Linked DNA regions of Schizosaccharomyces pombe. The gene in region 1 interacts genetically with each later gene. Each region holds a gene or a part of one and is shown on either strand. Other genes may lie near its edges.

Region 1 (6,376 bases):
AGTCCCTATGTTTCAATTGAAAGTTGTAATTGTTGAAGAATGTTGCAAAACTTATGGAATATATCAGTTTCAATTAGTTTCATTTCATTAGAGTTGAATTTACTCAAAACATAATCTGAAACGTCCTCCCTATTCCTTGACTCACAACGTCCAATTCCCAATCCAATCCTGTAAAAACTCTTTGAATTAGTAATGAAATTAAATGTGTACCTTACTTCTTTTCCTAGGAATTCTTGACAAGAGCGAATCCCATTGTGTCCCCTAGCAATGTTAATAAGTATTGCTTTGGATATTACTTACCTGTGAGAGCCTCCGGGCAAACGAAGCTTGACTTTGCCTAAATCTAACTCCAATTCGTCATGCACAACTACATATACGATTTTGTCTAATGGCGAAACTTTGCGCACAAAATCATTAGATATCTTTTTCAACTGTTTCCCGGAATCATTCATGTATGAGGTGGACAAAACCAAGGTGAGATTTTCTTTGGTACTAGGCCAATTTTTTGGAAATGCCATGCTGTCAGCGTACATACTCACCATTAATTTCCCCAGTGAGTGTCTCGATTTGACGAACGCTGATCCTGGATTTCCTAAACCATAGATCTTTCGGATTAGTATCCCATTTTGGAAAGACTTTTACGGATCATAACAATTTTTATAGAAACTCTTCTTTTAAGGTCGCAATGGTTAACTTCTGCTTTGTTTTTCCTGGCAATTAAAATCTTAGGAAGATGTTTTATTGCCATACGGAACTTTGGTACTTATTTTAAAAAAAATTTTTTTTGATTGAAAAAAAGCTTTAGCATCCTCAACAGAATTTTCAACTTACCAAGAATTGTGTTTGCACCATGGACTTTTTTCTGAGAAAATTTTTATTTAGGCACAAGGTTTTATTAAGATTAATAAATACTTTCCAACTGATTGGTTTTGGCCTACTCTTTGGTATTTAGCACGGTTAGCTCCCCACGAAAATAATATTTTAGTTTAGATTAATAAAACAATGTTTCAAACTACGAAGAAACTTGGAAACCACCTATTTCATGTTTTAGCCATTTAATTATAAGGAGACTACTTATCTTAACTTTTAGTAACGTATTATTACGAAAATTAATAAAAAGTAATCAAAGTTATATGATGGAGGAGGTAATAATGCATTTTAATATAGGTATTGGCTAACTGGTATTCTAGGAGAGATTCAAAGCAGAGATTTTTCACGTTACACAAGAAGTTTGTAATCGTACAGCTTCTGAATTAACTGAATCAGAGTCAAGAAATGTCATTGTAGATGAGCTTTTTTGTGTTGGAGTTACCGAAATGGTTTGGGAACAAATACGTGTATTAGCTAAAGACATTGAGGCTTTTGCAGAGTACGCTCTTGATGGAAATAAATATTTTAATCTTATTAACAAAATAATAGACATGCAGGACGGAAAACGGTTCAACCACAGGATGTGCTTTTATGTTGTCGAAGAAATGAAGGATTATATGAGATTATCAATAATTTTCACAAAGAATCGATCAAATCTAAAAAGAAAAAGAAAGAAAACAGTACAACATAATGCACATCCATTGTGGGTACAGTGATTATAGCTCATTTTCAACGCTGTGTTATCGTTAATAACTTTCTATTACATAGATTGACCATTGTCAAGACTTATTATTAGTTCTTTTTTATTTAATGTTATTCTTTGTTGTAACAAATTTCCCCGTTTTTTGATATCTTAGTGTGCATCCCCGGCTATTCTTTCCTTCCCGTCGTAGTTCACTTCATCAATAGCAGCAGCACCACAATAAATAGTGCGAACAGTAATTCGAAGGGCTGGTCCCAAGGAATTCCACCTTTTGGAATTTAATTAATGGTAATAAATACTTTTTGTCACATTTAAAGACACAACTGCATGCAATTCGTTGTTAGATATGGCGGAACCTGATATCAGTTCTTCAGAGACATTGACAGAATTGCAACAACTCAGACTCCTATATTTTTTCTGCTTTTATCATGCTGCTCCATTCAATGTGAAAACTCTGGTTCATTCACTTATTCCACCTGGCGCTTTATCATATTTATTGTCGACGTATGATATTTTGCGTCCATGGTTGATGGCTTTACGAGTCAGGGAGGGTCCAGTCAACGATATATCTACAATTGTTCAATTGTATGAGGAAATTGTAAAAACTGGGTTCTTCATTAATCCCCCTCCATTCGAATCGTACTCACAGACATTAGTAGCTCGGATAACTACTTTGGGTCGCCCAAAGCTACAGGTGCAACAGGAAGCTCAATCTGAAGTTTATCAACGGGCTTCAACAAATACACAACAACAAGTCTCCAATGTATCTCATGGTAATTTCAAACCCAATTCTTCGGTAAATACAGAACCTAACACTTCAATTTTATCAAATTCTAAATATGCTGGTATTAAACCATTCGACTTTCAGAGTTCATCACAAAATCCTGGATTGGTTTGCGAACAAAAAACATTTTATCAGCATCAATTTCGTCCTTTTTCTAATCTCCCATCTAATAAGTCTAGCCCGGTTAAACACGTATCTCCAAATGTCAAAAATAATTCAAAGAAAACTGCTTCCTCAGTCAACTCTAATCATTCTTCTATTCCGTCTTCTATAACTAAGTCCAATATATCTTCTTTAGATGTGTATGGTTCAGAAAAGCTTATTTCCTCGGGAAGCCAACAGCCAGGGCATGGTATGGTGCAAACAACTTCCGATAAAGTTAACGCGTCAGCATCTCTTTATGACCGCTCACCTTCAAAAAAAGATATCACAAGTTCCCGTAATACGTCTTCTTATAATCTTGGAAGTATGCGAAACCCTTCAACCTTAAAAAATGCAGCTCATGCAAACCCTTTTGAAGGACTGCGTTTCCAAGGCTCTTCAGCAGTGCTTAAAGAGGGGCTTAACTCTACTGTTAAGAAAACATTTTTTGATAATTTAAACTCTGAAAAGGTGTGTCCATCTGTTTCTCCGTTTTTAACACCTGATAATATTGCATCCTCAATCCTATACTCTACAGCGTCTTTCTCTCGATCAAAACCTGATAGACCGAGACTTAATTTATCATTGGAGCTAAAGCTAATGCAAAACGAACTAAATAAAGGTCAATTGAAAAAACAATTCAAAGGCGATTTGCGTAACCTGGCCGATTGGAATAATCTTTCGTTAGTGTCCTCGAAGTTCCCTTCATTGCCAATTACTAACCTGCGACCGGATGGCTCTTTTTTGAAACATAGGCGGTTTAATGAAGAGATTGCTTACAACCGCCAAACTCTTGAAAAAGCTATAAAACAGCTAGACTTATCTCCTGATAAAGTCATTCAACTTCGTGAACAAAATGGTGTTGCAGTTAACGGACGTGTATGCTATCCTACGAGAAATAAACACTCGGAAATCTCTGCTCAATCAAGCTCTTCGTTAGGAGTTACTAAATCTCTGGCGTCGGAAGTGTATTCCTCTTCAACTGTCGACACCATTAGTAAACTTAATACTGATAAGGATAATTATTTGATTAAAAGCAAAAAGGAACCAATACAACAAAAATCTGTTAGCTCGGAAACTACTTTGGTGAAACCGTCATCAACTTCTTCCTACATTGACACAACTAACAATGTCTTGAAAACGAATTCTAGTTTTAAGTCGTCTGGTTTGACAAGTGGGCCTAGAAATGAAAAGGAATTATTGCCTGAGGGAATTCCGACATCTCATAATAATTCTGAAACTCAAGCTCAAACAGCTGACGTATCAAACATAGCAGCTTCCGCCGATGGAATATATAATTCTGATCAGGAAAAACCTCCTGAGAAGCTGGACGTTACAAAGAGAGCTTTTGGACGTGAAATAGAAAATTCGAATGAAAAAGAATTATTGACTAGCACATTTTTAAGTCCTTCTGCAGAATCTCAGGTTTGTCTTGCAGAAATAAAAACCATACGTCCGGGATTGGTTCCTAAAAAGCAGTTTTCTGTGGATCAAAATAATGTAATAAGTGACAATACGGACTGTTCGCTTCCTAAACCATCTAACTCTAAGCTCTCCAGTATTAGTAGCGATGGGGATGCTTCTAGCAATCGAATGGCTGTACCCGATAAGTCTCCTTTTGTTCATGCTGCACCAAATTCTAAAGCATTGACGAAGGATAGTTTTTCTACTCACATTAGCGTTTCATCTCTTCTTCATAGTGACAACGAGATTTCTCCTATCGATTCAACTCGTAAAGATTACTTTACTTCAAAGGACAGCAATCTTCAGACTCTTAAAGAAGATGCGTCTTCAACAAAACAGGCTAAAGATTCTGGTACTAATGATTTTGACAAACTGATATCTGGCAATGATGTATCTAAAAACAATTCTGGCGAAGAACAAAGCAGAAGCGCATTGAAGCCACTAATTTCTGGGAAACTATCAAGTTGTGAGTCGATCAACTTAACCAAGGATATTTCAACTGTTAAGCGCAAAGAGTATTTTGGAATTGAATCGACGTCCTCAAAACAACCTTTCCATGATACTGGTTCAATTAAAATCCCAGCAAAAAGATCTTTTGATACCATTGATAAAGATTTTAGAAGTTCTAATATTCCATTTGCCGACAAAATTAAAGAGGACGGTGGAGATAAAAATGTGATTTCCTCAATTCATATTACAACTGAGCTTCCTAAATCAATGCCCGTTGAAGTACCTACTAATGCTGGTGCTCAAAGCGATCAAAGCAATGTCGTTGACTCCGAGTCTTTGAATTTGCGTGAGAATATTTCTACGAGCGTTGCTGACGTGAGCCTTAGTCAAGCAGGGAACGAAGCAGTGCTTAGTAAAAAGGCTTGTAAACCGCTTGTGTTAATTGACCCCTTTGAGGAGAAAGTACTTAAAGCCTTTAACATGTTGAGTAAAGGTTATGCTGAATACCGTTGTCAATGGGAGGGTTGTTTAGCCAATCTTCATTCGTTGGAAAATTTTATAAAACACGTTTTATTGTTACATCATCCGAAAAGTTGTTCTGTGGTTAAATGCCTATGGGCTTCGTGTGATATGGTTTTGCCATCAGAAGAGTTTGAAATGCATTTGCGCGGCCATTTGAACAACATCCGGCTTAATTGTGAAGTTTCTAACTGTAAAAAGTGCTTTTCTAATTATGAAGATATGTTCAAACATTTGCAGCATTCACATTTACCTTTCAAGTTCACACCAGAGTCTTTCATTAAAATTCGAAATGGCAATGTCAAAGAAGAAGCACGTCGTACAAGAAATGCTTACACACAGAAGTCTGGTGAAGTAGAATGTTTTATGGAAACTTGTACACCGATAGCTAAACCTGCTCCTGCGAATTGGTATCCGGTTCCTCCACCTGGTTTTAACTCATCTTTACTTTCCAGACTAACCCAAAGCAATCAGTCTAAAGATAAAATTATAGCTGCTTTAGCTAAGAGGAATGTTTATAAATCATTTGCGGGTTTGTACGATAGTAAAGGTAAAAATGATAATACTGGGTACGATTTTGATTCAAATTATGCCCGGGTTGGTCGTCATGGTTCTTTTATTTTACCTGTCAGCAAAAGTGTCCCTACTCCATCCTTGCTAATCGAAGGGTCTATTGTGCAACGTAAAAATATAAAAATAGAATGATCCGTCTTTGTACGTTACAAGCGTGATCTCAACAATTATTTTCTTAATTATGGTTTAATCCAACTGGCGTGAATCTCTCTGAACAAACATCTTATGTCTTTTATTTATATAGTTATTGTATGTAAAGTAAATATAAAAAATTATTGATTGTCCTTAATTTACTGTACACGCGTCCCTTCAAGTACATACATATGGTTCGATTGCTTAACTGAAGTAACCGCCGCTAGGAACCATCATAAACTTTTATCATTTTTGGATTCATAAAACCATTATAACAGTGGCTAGTTAATGAAAATAATCAAATGTCTGGTTTTTGAAATAAATAAATTCACTTGAAAGCCCTTCCATTCGAAATTGAAGCACTTTTTATTCCAAGGCTTATTTTTCTCTTATTTAATCAGAACAAATGGCTAATTCAGGGCTTTGGGAACTTATAACAATAGGATCCGCAGTTCGAAATGTTGCCAAATCATATTTAAAGGCTGAAGCTTCGTCAATTACAGCAAAACAACTGTATGATGCATCGAAAATAACCAGTTCGAAAAGGTCCACAAGTGACCTGCACGTTCAATTATTGGAGAAATACAGAAACGGTAAAGTCAAACATGCTTCCCAAATAAAAGAATTGGGGTTATCTTCTAAAGATACGAAACGAACGCTTTTGGGAAATTCTTTAGATGTTCAGAAAGATGCCTCCGGTGTCAAACATTTGCAGGAGCAATCTTCTAAAGAAATAAAAA
Region 2 (4,302 bases), 2.1 Mb from region 1:
TTGCCTTTATAACGCGACAGCTAACCTTCATTTAGTCCATAAAGAGAAATACGTTAGGAGGAAAGAATAATCGAGGACTGGCAGTTTTGCAATCTTTAACAAGCCTTATTAATCGAGAACTTGAAGAAGCAGAATTTCGCGACGCTGCTCTCCTAGGTTGGCTAATTGAAATTGTAAGTAAACTGGTTTTTTAATTCAGATTTGTTTACGTAAAATCACTGGGGTACTGACGGATGTTCAGTTGCAAGGTTGCTTTTTAATGGCAGATGATATTATGGATCAGTCTATCAAACGACGTGGTTTAGATTGTTGGTATTTGGTAGTTGGTGTACGAAGGGCAATTAATGAGTCACAATTACTAGAAGCATGTATTCCACTTTTAATTCGAAAGTATTTCAGAAATATGCCATACTATGTCGATTTATTGGATACTTTCCGAGAGGTATGTTACAATAAATTCAACTAAAAAGCTTACTTTCAAGGTTACTTTTCTCACCGAGTTGGGGCAACAAGAAGATTTGCTTTCATCACGAGACGGAGAAGCCTCGTTACGATCTTTTGATTTAATGAAATATGACTTTATTATCACTTATAAAACATCATTTTATTCCTTTTACCTTCCTATTAAATGTGCTTTATTGTTGTCTCGCAATTCGAATCAAAAGGCGTATGATACGACTATAAAGCTTTCAAAACTTCTTGGTTATTATTTCCAAGTCCAAGATGACTACTTAGATTGTTTCGGTGATTACACGGTTTTGGGTAAAGTGGGAATGGACATACAAGACAATAAATGCACATGGCTAGTTTGTTATGCTGAAAAATTTGCCTCTGCGGATCAGCTGAATCTTCTTCGTGCTCATTATGGAAAAGCAGGGTCTGAAAACATAGCTGTAATAAAGCAGCTTTATCATGAGCTTCAAATACCTGAATTATATCACAAATTTGAAGATGACATGGTGGATTCTATATCCAAAGAAATTGATTTGATTGATGAATCTACTGGATTGAAAAAGTGTATATTTACTAAGTTTTTTCAGCTCATTTACAAAAGGTCACGGTAGCAGTCATTTCATTTTAAATAACCGTTATTATCTTCTTCCTTATTTAAAATTTATTATTTGATGACCTTCCAAATTCTTTATGATACTGATCGACGATTTGTATTTAGGGTTATTCTTAAGGTTTCATATCATTATAGCATTTATGGTTTTTTTCATTATTGTTAAAGATCTGCATTCAGAATTTACTTTTTTAATGATTATCTGGTTGATACATTACTCTACTTGGGAAACTAAGCAAGATTTAGATTATGTAGATGTAAACATTTGGTGAGTAGTATAATAATAACATCAAATGACATTGACGATCGTTGTTAATTGGATTGGTTATGAAAGAATTATTATATTGCTCATTTGAGAAAATGCAAAAACTGTCACTGAAAAAAACATACAGCACATTTTAATAGACATTCCAAGGTTAGTCCTTTTTGTTATAACAGTATTTTACTTAAATTGAACAATTAATCGTTACTTATTTAAGATCTTGAAACACTAGTTCGTGGATGGGAGAAATATTCAATAGAACCAGGCTGCTGCTTCAGCTTCTGACCACTCCATCATAGCAACAATTCTACGCGAAAGCGCTCCGAACCTAACATTTTTAATTGATAACATAAGGAAACTGTTTGCCTTATTAAATAATTGGGAAAGAAAATCCTATTTGAAACTATGGGGTTCGGGAAGAAAAAGGTTTCTTATTTCTATGATGGTACGTGTAAACTAGTAAGATCCTAGCTAATTTTTGAAATAGAGGATGTTGGAAATTATCACTATGGTCCTCAGCATCCAATGAAGCCTCATCGCGTTCGCATGGTATGATATAAAGCTATAACTATTTATCATCATTAACCTACTTAGGTTCATAATCTGGTCGTTAATTACAACTTGTATGAGAAGTTGAACGTTATTGTAAGTTCTATTTCTCCTTTTTATACTAATAAAGTATACAAGACACCTGTTAGAGCAACAAGGAATGACATGACTCGTTGTCATACCGATGAGTATATTGAATTTCTTTGGAGAGTTACACCTGACACGATGGAAAAATTTCAACCGCATCAGCTGAAATGTAAGATTTCATTTCGATTATTTATAAATAACCGTGATTTTAGTTAACGTCGGTGATGATTGTCCTGTTTTTGAGTATGTGCGTTTATCAAATTTTTTATACTAACAATTGTTTAGTGGGCTGTACGAATTTTGTTCAATTTCTGCTGGCGGTTCAATTGGTAAGATAAAAGTTTTTCCCAAAAAAGGGGCTTTGAAGCATCCGCTGAATTTGTGAATGGAGTATAGGACTTTAACTAACATTGGTTTAGGTGCTGCTCAAGAACTTAACTCGGGAAACGCAGAAATTGCTATTAAGTATGTTATTGAGGATTTTTTAGTACTTTGAAGATCAACTAACCACTTAATTAAGTTGGGCTGGAGGCCTACATCACGCTAAAAAACGTGAAGCTTCTGGTTTCTGCTATGTTAATGATATCGCGTTGGCTGCTTTAGAATTGCTGAAATATCATCAACGTGTTCTTTACATTGATATTGATGTTCACCACGGAGACGGTGTAGAAGAATTTTTCTACACTACGGATCGCGTTATGACTTGTTCATTCCACAAATTCGGTGAATATTTTCCAGGAACCGGTCATATCAAGGTATGCATGCGGCTTTATATTTGGATTTACTTTTCTAATATTTTAGGACACCGGAATTGGAACAGGAAAAAACTATGCTGTTAACGTTCCTTTGAGAGATGGTATTGACGATGAATCTTATGAAAGCGTATTTAAGCCTGTAAGTCTTTTTTATAAATTTCTTTGTTCTAACAATCTGAATTAGGTTATAAGTCACATAATGCAATGGTTTCGACCGGAAGCTGTTATTTTACAATGTGGAACAGATTCTCTCGCTGGTGATCGACTAGGCTGCTTCAATCTGTCAATGAAGGGTAAGTAACTACTGTTTCTCGTTTTTACTAATTCCCCTCAACAGGACATTCAATGTGCGTTGATTTTGTTAAGAGCTTTAATTTGCCAATGATATGCGTTGGAGGAGGTGGATATACTGTACGGAATGTTGCCCGTGTCTGGACTTATGAAACTGGTCTTTTAGCCGGCGAAGAGCTTGATGAAAGTAAGTACCAATACGTAAATTGTTTATTAACCCATCCAAGACCTTCCTTATAATGACTATTTACAATATTACGGTCCCGATTACAAGCTCAATGTTCTTTCAAACAATATGGAAAACCATAACACTCGGCAGTATCTTGATTCGATAACGTATGCTACCTTTTGAGTTTTATTCTTACGAGGCTGACCAAATTTAGCTCTGAAATCATCGAAAATTTGAGAAACTTATCTTTTGCACCTAGCGTTCAAATGCATAGTAAGTATAAGCGGTTATCGAAAAATGTGCTAACAAATACTCTTACATTAGAAACTCCCGGTGACTTTACGTTTGAAAATGCCGAAAAGCAGAACATTGCGAAAGAAGAGATTATGGATGAGCGCGTATAGACCTATATAAAATTTTGTATGTTCATGGTGTTTGAATCCATTATACTCGGTTTTTTTGTGTTATTTGAATCATGAATACTATAAAAGCTATTATGTTTAAATACCCTTATTTATAAGAATTCTCCAGCATAATTAGACTTCAGCATTAAATTGAAAATGCTCATTACATATAATAACAAACACTTTATATTCTATACTCTAGATGTGACTTGTGGTTTTAAAAAAAAAGGAATAGCCAAAAAATTAACGCACAAAGAAAGAAGAAACGGAAATCACAAGGTAGTAGTAATTATATGTCTATCCGAAGTAAAAGGTCAAAACAATTAAGGAAGTACAATATACTTCTTGTATTGTGGCTCAATTACATCAAATAATTTTTTACTTTCAAGGAATGAGCGACTGAATAAACGAGTGGCATACTTGTGACCAGAATCACAAAGAATTGTAACCACCGTCTTGCCAGGACCTAATATTTTAGCCATTTCAACAGCAGCGACCACATTTAAGCAAGAAGAGCCGCCCAAGAAAAGACCTTCTTGGTCTAACAAACGAAAGAACATGTTAATAGATTTTTCGTCAGGGATTTTCATAGCATCGTCAATGAGATCGTAAACAGGTTGGACATTTCCAGTAATACGACCTTGACCAATGCCTTCGGTAAATGAAGAACCCTTGTTGTCAGGATGCTTACCCTTCGTTTTGATATGGCTATACAAAACACT

The links. Genes that interact genetically often act in the same process or in processes that back each other up.
Region 2: mutations in clr1 (region 1) and clr6 impair growth when combined (synthetic growth defect), as found in Schizosaccharomyces pombe (one study listed by BioGRID).

What each region holds. Positions count from the first base shown.
Region 1 is NC_003423.3:2,995,319-3,001,694, forward strand, and holds clr1 (SHREC complex intermodule linker subunit Clr1), read left to right. Parts: upstream 1-1,772; 5' UTR 1,773-1,919; coding exon 1,920-5,636; 3' UTR 5,637-5,818; downstream 5,819-6,376. Other genes in the region: peptidyl-tRNA hydrolase Pth1, read right to left, coding at 6-179, 216-261, 301-605, 653-748; protein mhf1, read left to right, coding at 1,134-1,145, 1,191-1,369, 1,420-1,561; ABC1 kinase family ubiquinone biosynthesis ATPase Coq8, read left to right, coding at 6,043-6,376. UniProt on the Schizosaccharomyces pombe protein: Regulates silencing of the mat2 and mat3 loci. Organizes the chromatin structure of the mating-type region where it also participates in establishing the 'cold spot' for recombination.
Region 2 is NC_003423.3:848,787-853,088, reverse strand, and holds clr6 (class 1 histone deacetylase Clr6), read left to right. Parts: upstream 1-1,612; 5' UTR 1,613-1,730; coding exon 1,731-1,770; exon of another isoform or gene 1,771-1,812; coding exon 1,813-1,874; exon of another isoform or gene 1,875-1,919; coding exon 1,920-1,970; exon of another isoform or gene 1,971-2,012; coding exon 2,013-2,130; exon of another isoform or gene 2,131-2,173; coding exon 2,174-2,204; exon of another isoform or gene 2,205-2,246; coding exon 2,247-2,290; exon of another isoform or gene 2,291-2,380; coding exon 2,381-2,426; exon of another isoform or gene 2,427-2,481; coding exon 2,482-2,716; exon of another isoform or gene 2,717-2,762; coding exon 2,763-2,855; exon of another isoform or gene 2,856-2,900; coding exon 2,901-3,009; exon of another isoform or gene 3,010-3,053; coding exon 3,054-3,194; exon of another isoform or gene 3,195-3,234; coding exon 3,235-3,343; exon of another isoform or gene 3,344-3,385; intron 3,386-3,390; coding exon 3,391-3,449; intron 3,450-3,500; coding exon 3,501-3,580; 3' UTR 3,581-3,744; downstream 3,745-4,302. Other genes in the region: spo9 (ER farnesyl pyrophosphate synthetase Erg20), read left to right, coding at 36-173, 242-442, 483-1,064; cys11 (cysteine synthase), read right to left, coding at 3,904-4,302. UniProt on the Schizosaccharomyces pombe protein: Responsible for the deacetylation of lysine residues on the N-terminal part of the core histones (H2A, H2B, H3 and H4).